Linked DNA regions of Canis lupus familiaris. The protein of the gene in region 1 binds, or shares a complex with, the protein of each later gene. Links are inferred from orthologs where the notes say so. Each region holds a gene or a part of one and is shown on either strand. Other genes may lie near its edges.

The links. The genes of interacting proteins can lie anywhere in the genome.
Region 2: ARID1A (region 1) and PHF10 share a complex: the UniProt entries of both Homo sapiens proteins name them as parts of the neural progenitors-specific chromatin remodeling complex. The link is inferred for Canis lupus familiaris from reciprocal best matches to the Homo sapiens genes ARID1A and PHF10.

The regions. Positions count from the first base shown.
Region 1 is NC_049223.1:72,795,366-72,799,359, forward strand, and holds the start of ARID1A (AT-rich interactive domain-containing protein 1A), read right to left. Parts: upstream 2,801-3,994; 5' UTR 2,786-2,800; coding exon 1,646-2,785; intron 1-1,645. UniProt on the Homo sapiens protein: Involved in transcriptional activation and repression of select genes by chromatin remodeling (alteration of DNA-nucleosome topology).
Region 2 is NC_049233.1:72,437,697-72,441,933, forward strand, and holds the start of PHF10 (PHD finger protein 10), read right to left. Parts: upstream 2,801-4,237; 5' UTR 2,792-2,800; coding exon 2,705-2,791; intron 550-2,704; coding exon 443-549; intron 1-442. UniProt on the Homo sapiens protein: Involved in transcription activity regulation by chromatin remodeling. Belongs to the neural progenitors-specific chromatin remodeling complex (npBAF complex) and is required for the proliferation of neural progenitors.

The sequences.
Region 1 (3,994 bases):
GAACATACCTTAAAATGCAAAGAAAAAATTAGTTGACCTCTATCTCAAAGCTCTAAAGTGACTGATGACAAAACAGAAAACTAGCCTTTTTGATATCCCAGGAACAAATGATAAATTTTACCAAACCAGGCCTTTAGGAGAAAGTCCCTCCCAAGATCATAAAAGATATCGGCTTCTCTTTAAATTGAGCTGCTTTCTCAAAGTTCAATTAACAAAAGAGTTAACAAGATTCAACATGTAAACAAAGAATGAGGCCAGTCTTCCTTAAAACAGAACACTTGAACGTAATATGAAATTCTCTCAGGAAGCTTCCAGTTCAAAAAAAAAAAAAAAAAAAAAGAAAAAGAAAAAAAAAGTTTTCTTCTACCCCCTCCCATAAAGATCCCACATTTGTCACTCAATAAAAATCCCAGTAAAATAATCTCAATTCTGCAACGCGAACAGGGTCAAAATTACTCAAGACAAATGCATCTTCAGAGCCATCAAAGAAGTCATTTATACCACCAGGAAAGTCACAAAACCAAAACAAACAGCAAACCCATTGTAGAGAAAAACTCAGCTACTGTTCTGACAACACAGAATCTATTTCAGGCTGCATAAAACATAACAAGCAAAATAAATCCAAGGTACAAGCAAAATGCCACTGCCTCCTCTTTTGTTTCGGCACAATGTAACAAGGGCAGCCTGTCTGGGGCTCTGCTCCTGCTGATACAGTATTGCTGCTTAAACCTTCCTCCTCAAGGTCACAGCCAATTTCAGCTCTGGAATAAAAGGCAGATAGTGGCAGCGATGGTTTGGGTTATCACTGGCAGAAAAGCAGAGTGTAAAAGTTTATGAGCTCATCAGGATTGTTGTACCATTACATCAGAGGCAATTATAAATGGCCAAGAGCAGGAGATGGGGAGCCAATCAGATCACAGATAGGATGTCAACCTAAGACCAACTGTCTCCTGGCTTTGACAGAAGGATTTTACCTCCATAATTCAAATCCCAAACCAAAGCAATCTGCACTTACTACTCCAATCACTCAGCTGTTTACCAGCACTTCCAGGGAGAAGCCCAGGCCACTGGGCCGACGGAGACTAAGACAGGAGATGGCCCGGGCTGCCCTGGGTGAACCGCAGCCGGCCTTTAGCTGCCCCCAAGCAGGCCCCTGCCCTCCCCCGAGGTACCCCAGAGCCCGAGGGGCCCCTCCTTGAAAGCACAGATGGGGAACGGCCTAGAGGAAGGCAGGAGGGCGGGCAGAGAGGAGCGGCAGGTGAGCAAAGAATTGTTCACTCAACTCCCGAGCTCCTAGCTCTGCACACCCCAACCTGAGCCCCCAACACACCCCTCAACCCCGGGCCAGGCCCTTCCCCGCACATTCTGCCCCGCACCCCCTCGAAGACCCCAGGAGCGCGAAGGGACCAGGGGAGAGGGAGAAGGGGAGCAGACACCTCAGGGAAAGCCCCACACAAAGGCTGAAGGAGGGAAGGAGAGGAAGGCAGACAGGCAGCCATTTTAAGAGAAGAGCCAGACAATGGCAGCTCCCCAGCAGTGGGGGCCCCGGACTGGGGGTAGCCCAAGGCTGTGGCCTGCTCCCCGCAGCCGCCACCCACTCCCAGGACCCCGCTCGCCCCGGCCCCCTCCCCACTCAGCTGTGTACCTGCGGGGTCCGGGCGAGCGGCTGCGCCCCGCCGCCGCTGCTCCCGGGGCTCATGGGCGCGTGGTGGCTCCTTTGTTGGGCCCCTCCCGAGGCGGCTGCTGCCGCCGCCGCCGCCGCCGCCGCAGCCCCCCAGCACTGCGAGGCCATGTCCGCCGGGCCCTTGCCGGCGCCCCCGTCCTGGGGCCCGCCGCCGTAGTCGCCCCCGGGGTAGCCCTGGTAGCCCCGGGCCGAGCTGGGCGACGTGAGCAGTTGGTTGAGGGTGGGGGTGGCGGTGGGCTGGGGGGTTCCCCCGCCGGCCGCTGAGGGGCCGCCTCCCCCCATGGCCCCGAAGCGCTGCTGAGCGAAGGACGAAGACGACGAGGAGGCGGAGGCGCTGGAAGACGGAGGCGGCTTGGAGCCGGCGGCCGCCGCCGCGCCGGAGCCCGGAGTGCCACCTCTCGGGGAGCTCAGCGCGTAGGCCTGGGGGGGCGGGGGGTAGGCGCTGCGGTTGGGGTAGTAGGAGTTGTACTGGTGGTTGGGGAAGCCGTGGTCGTGCGAGTTCTGCTGGGGCCCCGCGTAGGGCTCCAGGCCCCCGCCGCCGCCGCCGCTCTGCAGCGCTGCCAGGCCAGGGCTTTGTTGTCCGCCATGTTGTTGGTGGAAGACGGCGGCCGCCGCGGCGGCGACGGCAGACGGGCTCCGGCCGTAGGGTTGCCCGAAGCCGTAGGCTGGGGGCGGCAAGGCGGCCGCGGCTGAGTGAGGAGGCGCCCCCACCCCATCGCTGCTGCCGCCGCCGCCGCCGCCGGGCGGCTCCGTGAGGTTATTGTTCAGGGCGGGCCTAGGGCCCGCGTTCCCGTTCGAGTTCTTCAGGTCCGGCTCCGCGCCGGGCCCGCCGCCGGCGCCGGCTCCACCGCCGCCGCCACCCCCATTGCTCTCGGCCCCGTCCTGCAGCTCCTTTCCCAGTGGCTGCGGCGGCCCCACGGCGGGGCCCTCGCTCTCCTGCCCGGCGGCTGCCTTCATTTCCCCGCGCTCGGCCGCTGCCGCCGCCGCCGCCTCGCCCCCCGCCTCCTCCCGCTGCTGCTGCTCCGCTTTCTTCAGCTCCGAGGGCGGCGGCGGCGGGTTGCCCAGGCTGCTGGCGGCGGCGGGGGCGACCTGCGCGGCCATGATCCCCGCTGTCTCGTCCGCGGAGAGACCCGGCCCTGTCTTCGTCTTCTCCCCCCCTCCCACCCCGCCCCGGGGCCGAGTCCCCCGGGCTGCCCTCCCCACCCGCCCGGGCGGGCCTCGCGGGGCTCCGCTGCTGCGCGGCGCTCGCTCGCTCGCTCCTCTCCCCCCCGCCCCGCCGGCTCAGGCTCCGGGCTGGCGGCGGCGGAGGAGGAGGAGGCGGCGGCGGCCGAGGCGCCGGCGGCTCAGCTGCTCCCGGCTCTGTAGGCTCGGGACCCGGCTCTCCCGGCTCATTCCCCCCAAGCCCTTGCCTGGGAATGAGGGGGGCGGTGGAGGCTCCGCTCCCCAGGGCCTGGCCCCGCTGTGACTCTCCGCTTTCTGCTGCCGGAGAAAGGAGGAGGGAGGGAGGGAGGGAGGCGAGGGGGAGGGGGCGGGGAGGGAGGGAGGGAGGGAGCGGGGGGAGGGGGACCCGGGACGGGCGGGCTGGAGGGCGCGCGGCAGCAGCCCGGGCGCCGGGAGGCAGAGTCGGAGCGCGGGCCGGGCCGGGCGCCCTGCCTCCCCTCCCCGGCCGCGGCGCGGGCCGAGGCTGCTGCGCGGCAGCGGGCTGGCGGGCGGGCGGGCGGCCGGACTGAGCGGCTAGAGCGCCCCACTCTCCTCCGAGTCCCCCTCACTCCGACACGAGGCTCAGCACTGCCATTTTACCCAGCGCCGTCGCGGCCGCCTGGCAAACCCGGAATGGAGCGCGGAGCGGGCGCAGGCCATGGAACGGACTCGCTCCCTTCCCCTCACAAAGGAGGAGGGGAGAGAACGAGCCGCGGCGGCGGCAGGCCCTCTGCCGCTTTCGCTCGGCAGCGCCGCCGCTGAAGGCTTCGGGGAAAACCCGGCCCGGAGCCCGCGCCTCTCGGAGCCTGCGCCGCCTCCCTTCTGGCGTTCCTATCCGGGTCGGTCCCCTCCAGGCCGCACCGAGGGGAGCGGGCAGCGTGAACTTTACTCGCGGCTGCAAAATTGGCCAGAGCCCGAGACCGCGGCCGCCTCGGCCCAGGCCTGACCCCCTGGCAGCGGGCCTGGTCTCTTGGCTGCTACTTAGCACCTCTACAGCACTTTTCTTCAAAGCCTTTTACAAACCCGGTCTTAAAGACCCAGCTGAGTGAGCGAGCAGGGCCTTACATTTTATCCCCTTTGCAAGCCCAACGGAATGACAGATCATTGTTC
Region 2 (4,237 bases), on another chromosome or scaffold:
CAGCTACGTCACCGCAACCCTGTTCCCAACAGCCCAAAGCGGGAAACAACCCGGGCCCGTCCCCAGAGGGAAGGACATACGAAAGCTGCTCTGTCCCCCCCACGGAGCACAGTTCAGCCCTGAAGAGAAATTCTGACATACGCTACAACATGGATGAGCTTTCAAGGAATCATGTGGAAAGAGGCCAGACATGGAAGGGCAAATACTGTAGGACTCCACCTACGTGAGGTGCCCTACGTCACACGGAGAGGGGGACGGGGGCTGCCAGCCGTGGGGAAGGAGGGAATTGGCAACTGTCACTGCTTCATGGCTAAGACCTTTCCACACAGTAGTGAAGTGTTCCGGAAGGGTGCAGGTGGCAGCTGAAGTGCCGGGGAGGAGGGAGGTATCGCAGAGGAGAGAAATACACCACAACTACTATTAAGCAATAAAATGACAGTACCCAAGATCTTGACTTGAAGTCTCACAACTCCTAGAGCTATCTCCTGAGCCCATTCGCCTCCTTTTGGATGGTTGGGTCCCATCATTTGAATTATCTTCATTATCATCCTATACATTCAAAAAATTCAAAACATAAGAAGAGAAACAATAAAAAATAAGAATGATTATGTATCTTCCCAGACTTGCTACAAGGCTCCACTTAAAGGTTCTTTAATGACAAATGATTATACACATGTTAACTTTCTATTATAACTAAGAAGGGCCAAGATTTTGGCATGGCAAGACCTGAGAAAAAAATCTAAAAATAATCAAAAAGTGATCTTTTATACAATCAAAAAAAGAAAAATCACAATTACCCTGTAAATGTAAATCTACTTTTCCTTTCTTAGCAACTGCAGTTAAAATGCCATGTACTTTAAAAACAAACATGTAAAATTGCTGTTAACACTCTTAATATTAAAGCAATCCCTCCTACCCCAGTTAGGAAAAAAACGTGTAGATCATTTCCTGTTTAACTCAACTGCTAGGGAGTTGATAGGACTATTCTAAAGGAGTCCTATAGGGGATCCCTGGGTGGCGCAGCGGTTTGGCGCCTGCCTTTGGCCCAGGGCGCGATCCTGGAGACCCGGGATCGAATCCCACATCGGGCTCCCGGTGCATGGAGCCTGCTTCTCCCTCTGCCTATGTCTCTGCCTCTCTCTCTCTCTCACTGTGTGCCTATCATAAATAAATAAAAAAAATTTAAAAAAAAAAAAAAAAAAAAAAATAAAGGAGTCCTATATACTTCTATTTCCATGAAAAAAGAAAATGCAAAGACTAAAAACAGGTTACCAACCCTGTCAGTTTTTTTCTTACATTGCAAAAATTCAGCAAAAATATTCCCTAGTAAGAGTCATCAATTGATACAGCAAGAGACGCGCATCCCCACCAAAAGAGGAATGGCTTAAGTGTTTTAGGTGACATTATCTGTGGTGAGGCATTAATACCAAGACTCTAGTTGGGCCATTCCATTCAGAACATAAGTGAGCCATCAGATGTTAGCAAATTGACTTATTCACATTACTAGCTAAGGCTTAATGACCGTAAGGCGTACGAAAATAACTAAAACAAAAAAAAATCAATTAAATGTAGATTCGTAAGATGAATACAATTTTGTTAGATAGCATGGTCTTCTTGCTACGTGGTAAAACGAACCCAATCCAGCAGAGTACAAGGCTGGCCTGGCACCGTCCTGGGCGCTGGCCTCCACCAGCTGAGCCTGTGCCCTCTGAGCCGCCTCCTCTTCGTAACACTGAGGCGATAACGGGGCCTCATGACGTGGCTAATGCAAGGATTAAAGGAGTTAAACACGCGGGAAGCGCTCAGAGCAGGGCCTAGCGGGTCATGAAGTGTCCTATAAAAGTTAACCCGCGAGACAACCAGAAAGTCTCAAACGGCTCCGCTACTAGGAACCGACTCCGATTCTTTCTCAAATAGTGTGTGTGTGTGTGTGTGTGTATGGCAGGTTGTCCTTTGTAGCTCCTGTATAATCATCAAAAAACTGCCTAATCCCATTAAGAAAGGCAACCAGGTAGGAGATGGAGAAGAGAATACATGTTATTCTCCAAAAATGTGCATTTAACAGTAAGAATCAGAGTGGAGACAATACGATTCGGGAACAACTCCCTTTAATAAGCAAATTCAGGTATTACGGTTTTGTTTTGGTTTGTTTGTTTTTTGGTTTTTGCCGTTTTACTCACGACTAAGCATTTTAAGGATTTTTAGGTTTAAGTATATTTCCTTTGCTTTAAAAGTTGAAATACCCCCAAAAAAGGTAACCTGCAAAGTCCTGAGAGCAGTCGCTGGGACGAGGGCGGGGGCCGCACAGGTGCGCGGGGGCCGTCCCGCCGCGGCCACAGGTGGGCTCCCGCCGCAGGTGCGACCCCGCGACCCCGCGCCCCCGCGCCCGCTTCCGGGGCCCCCGGACCCGAGCCCCGCCTGCCCGCACGCGGCCGCTCCCCCCGCGCAGCCGCCCCCGCCGCCCCGGGACCCAGTTTCCAACTAAGTTCCCGGGGCTGCGGGGCGGCAACGCGGGGTCCCGGCCGCCCCGGGGTCACCCCGCCCGCCCCGCCCCGCCCGGGCCGGTGTCCCCGCCGCCGCCGCCGCCAGGCGCGCTCCGAACCCCCGCGGCCGCCCCGCCGCCCCAGGACCCGGGCTTCGGCGGCCGCGGCCTCCGCTCCCCCCGCGGGAGCCCCGCCCCGCCCCGCCCGGCCCCGCTCCTCACCTTCGGGGACGGCGCTCCGGGGGTGGCCGGGTCGCTGTCGCACGGCCGCGGGGACAGCGCCGCCCCGGGCCCGGCCGCCGCCGCCATCAGCCCGAGCGCCCCGCGCCGCCGCCGCCGCCGTCGCCGCCGCCTCGTCCCGGCCGCCGCCGCCGCCGCCGCCGCCGCCGCCGCGCGGGCCGCCCGCCGCCCGGGCCCCGCCCCCTCCGCCCGCCCGCCGCCCGGGGGCCGGCCCCTGCCTCCGCGCGCCCCGCGGCCCGCCAGCGCCGCCGCCACCGCCATGGCCGCCGCCAGCGCGCCTCCCGGGCGCCGCGGCTCAGGGGGCGGAAGGAGGCCGCCGGCCGCCCGCGCGCGTCAGCCCCGCCGCCCGCCCCGCTGCGGCGCCGGCCCCCGGCCTCGGCTCGCCCCGCGCCCCGTTGCCCCGCGCCCCCGCCCGGCCGCCGGCCCTCAGCCGCCCGGCCCTCAGCCTCGCCGCTCGGCCCTCAGCCCCCGCTGCCCGGCCCTCGGCCTCGCCGCCCGGCCCTCAGCCCCCGCTGCCCGGCCCTCAGCCTCGCCGCCCGGCCCTCAGCCCCCACTGCCCGGCCCTCAGCCCCCGCCGCCCGGCCCTCGGTCCCCGCCGCCCGGCCCTCGGCCCCCGCCGCCCGGCCCTCGGCCCCCGCCGCCCGACCCTCGGCCCCCGCCGCCCGGCCCTCGGCCCCCGCCGCCCGGCCCTCGGTCCCCGCCGCCCGGCCCTCAGCCGCTCCCGCCCCGCCGCCCGGCCGCCGCCGCCGCCGCCGCCACCCCACCTCCCGGCCCGCCGCAGCCCGGCGCGCTCCGCGGCCCCACCTCCCGCCGTCCCCTCAGCCCCCAGCCCCGCCCCGGCCCGCCGCCACTTGGCGCGCTCGCTGCCGCCCCCTCCCCGCGCCCCCGGCCCGGCCCCGCCGCGCGTCAGCCCTCTCCTCCCACCGCGCCCGCGCCGCCCCGCCCCCGCCCCGGGGTCCCCGCCGCCCCCTCCCCCCCCCGCCCCTCCCCGAGCCCTGGGCCCCCCGCCCCCGTCTCCCGGGGGTCTCCGCCGACACGCCCTGGGTCCAGGGGCCCGCCCCCGCCCCCCGCCCGGGGTCCCCGCGTCCCGGCGCCGCCCGGAGCGCCCAGCGGCGGGGGGCTGTGGCGGCGCCGGCCCATTTCCTCGCGCTCGGCCGGGCCCCCGCCCCTCGGGCGCCTTTGTTCTCCGCGGCTGCCGAGCCACCTGCGGGGAGCGAGCGCGCGCCAACGACGCCCCGGGCTCCCCGCCGCCCGCCGTCCGACGGCGTGACCCGGCTGGGACCAGCCCGCGCGCGGGGAATGTGCGCGGAACGTGCTCCGTAGAGCGGACCGACCCCCGCGGCCTCGGGCTGCGCGGCGCGGGCGGCCACCCCCGCTCCTCACCGCGCAGGGGTGCGGGACACGACCTGAGGGCACGAGTTTTACTGGAACCGAATTCGCAGCCCCAGTTCCCAGACTGCACCTGCCCACGCTAGGAGTCCTCGCGGGTGGGCAGGGAGCCTTCGAAGACCCGGG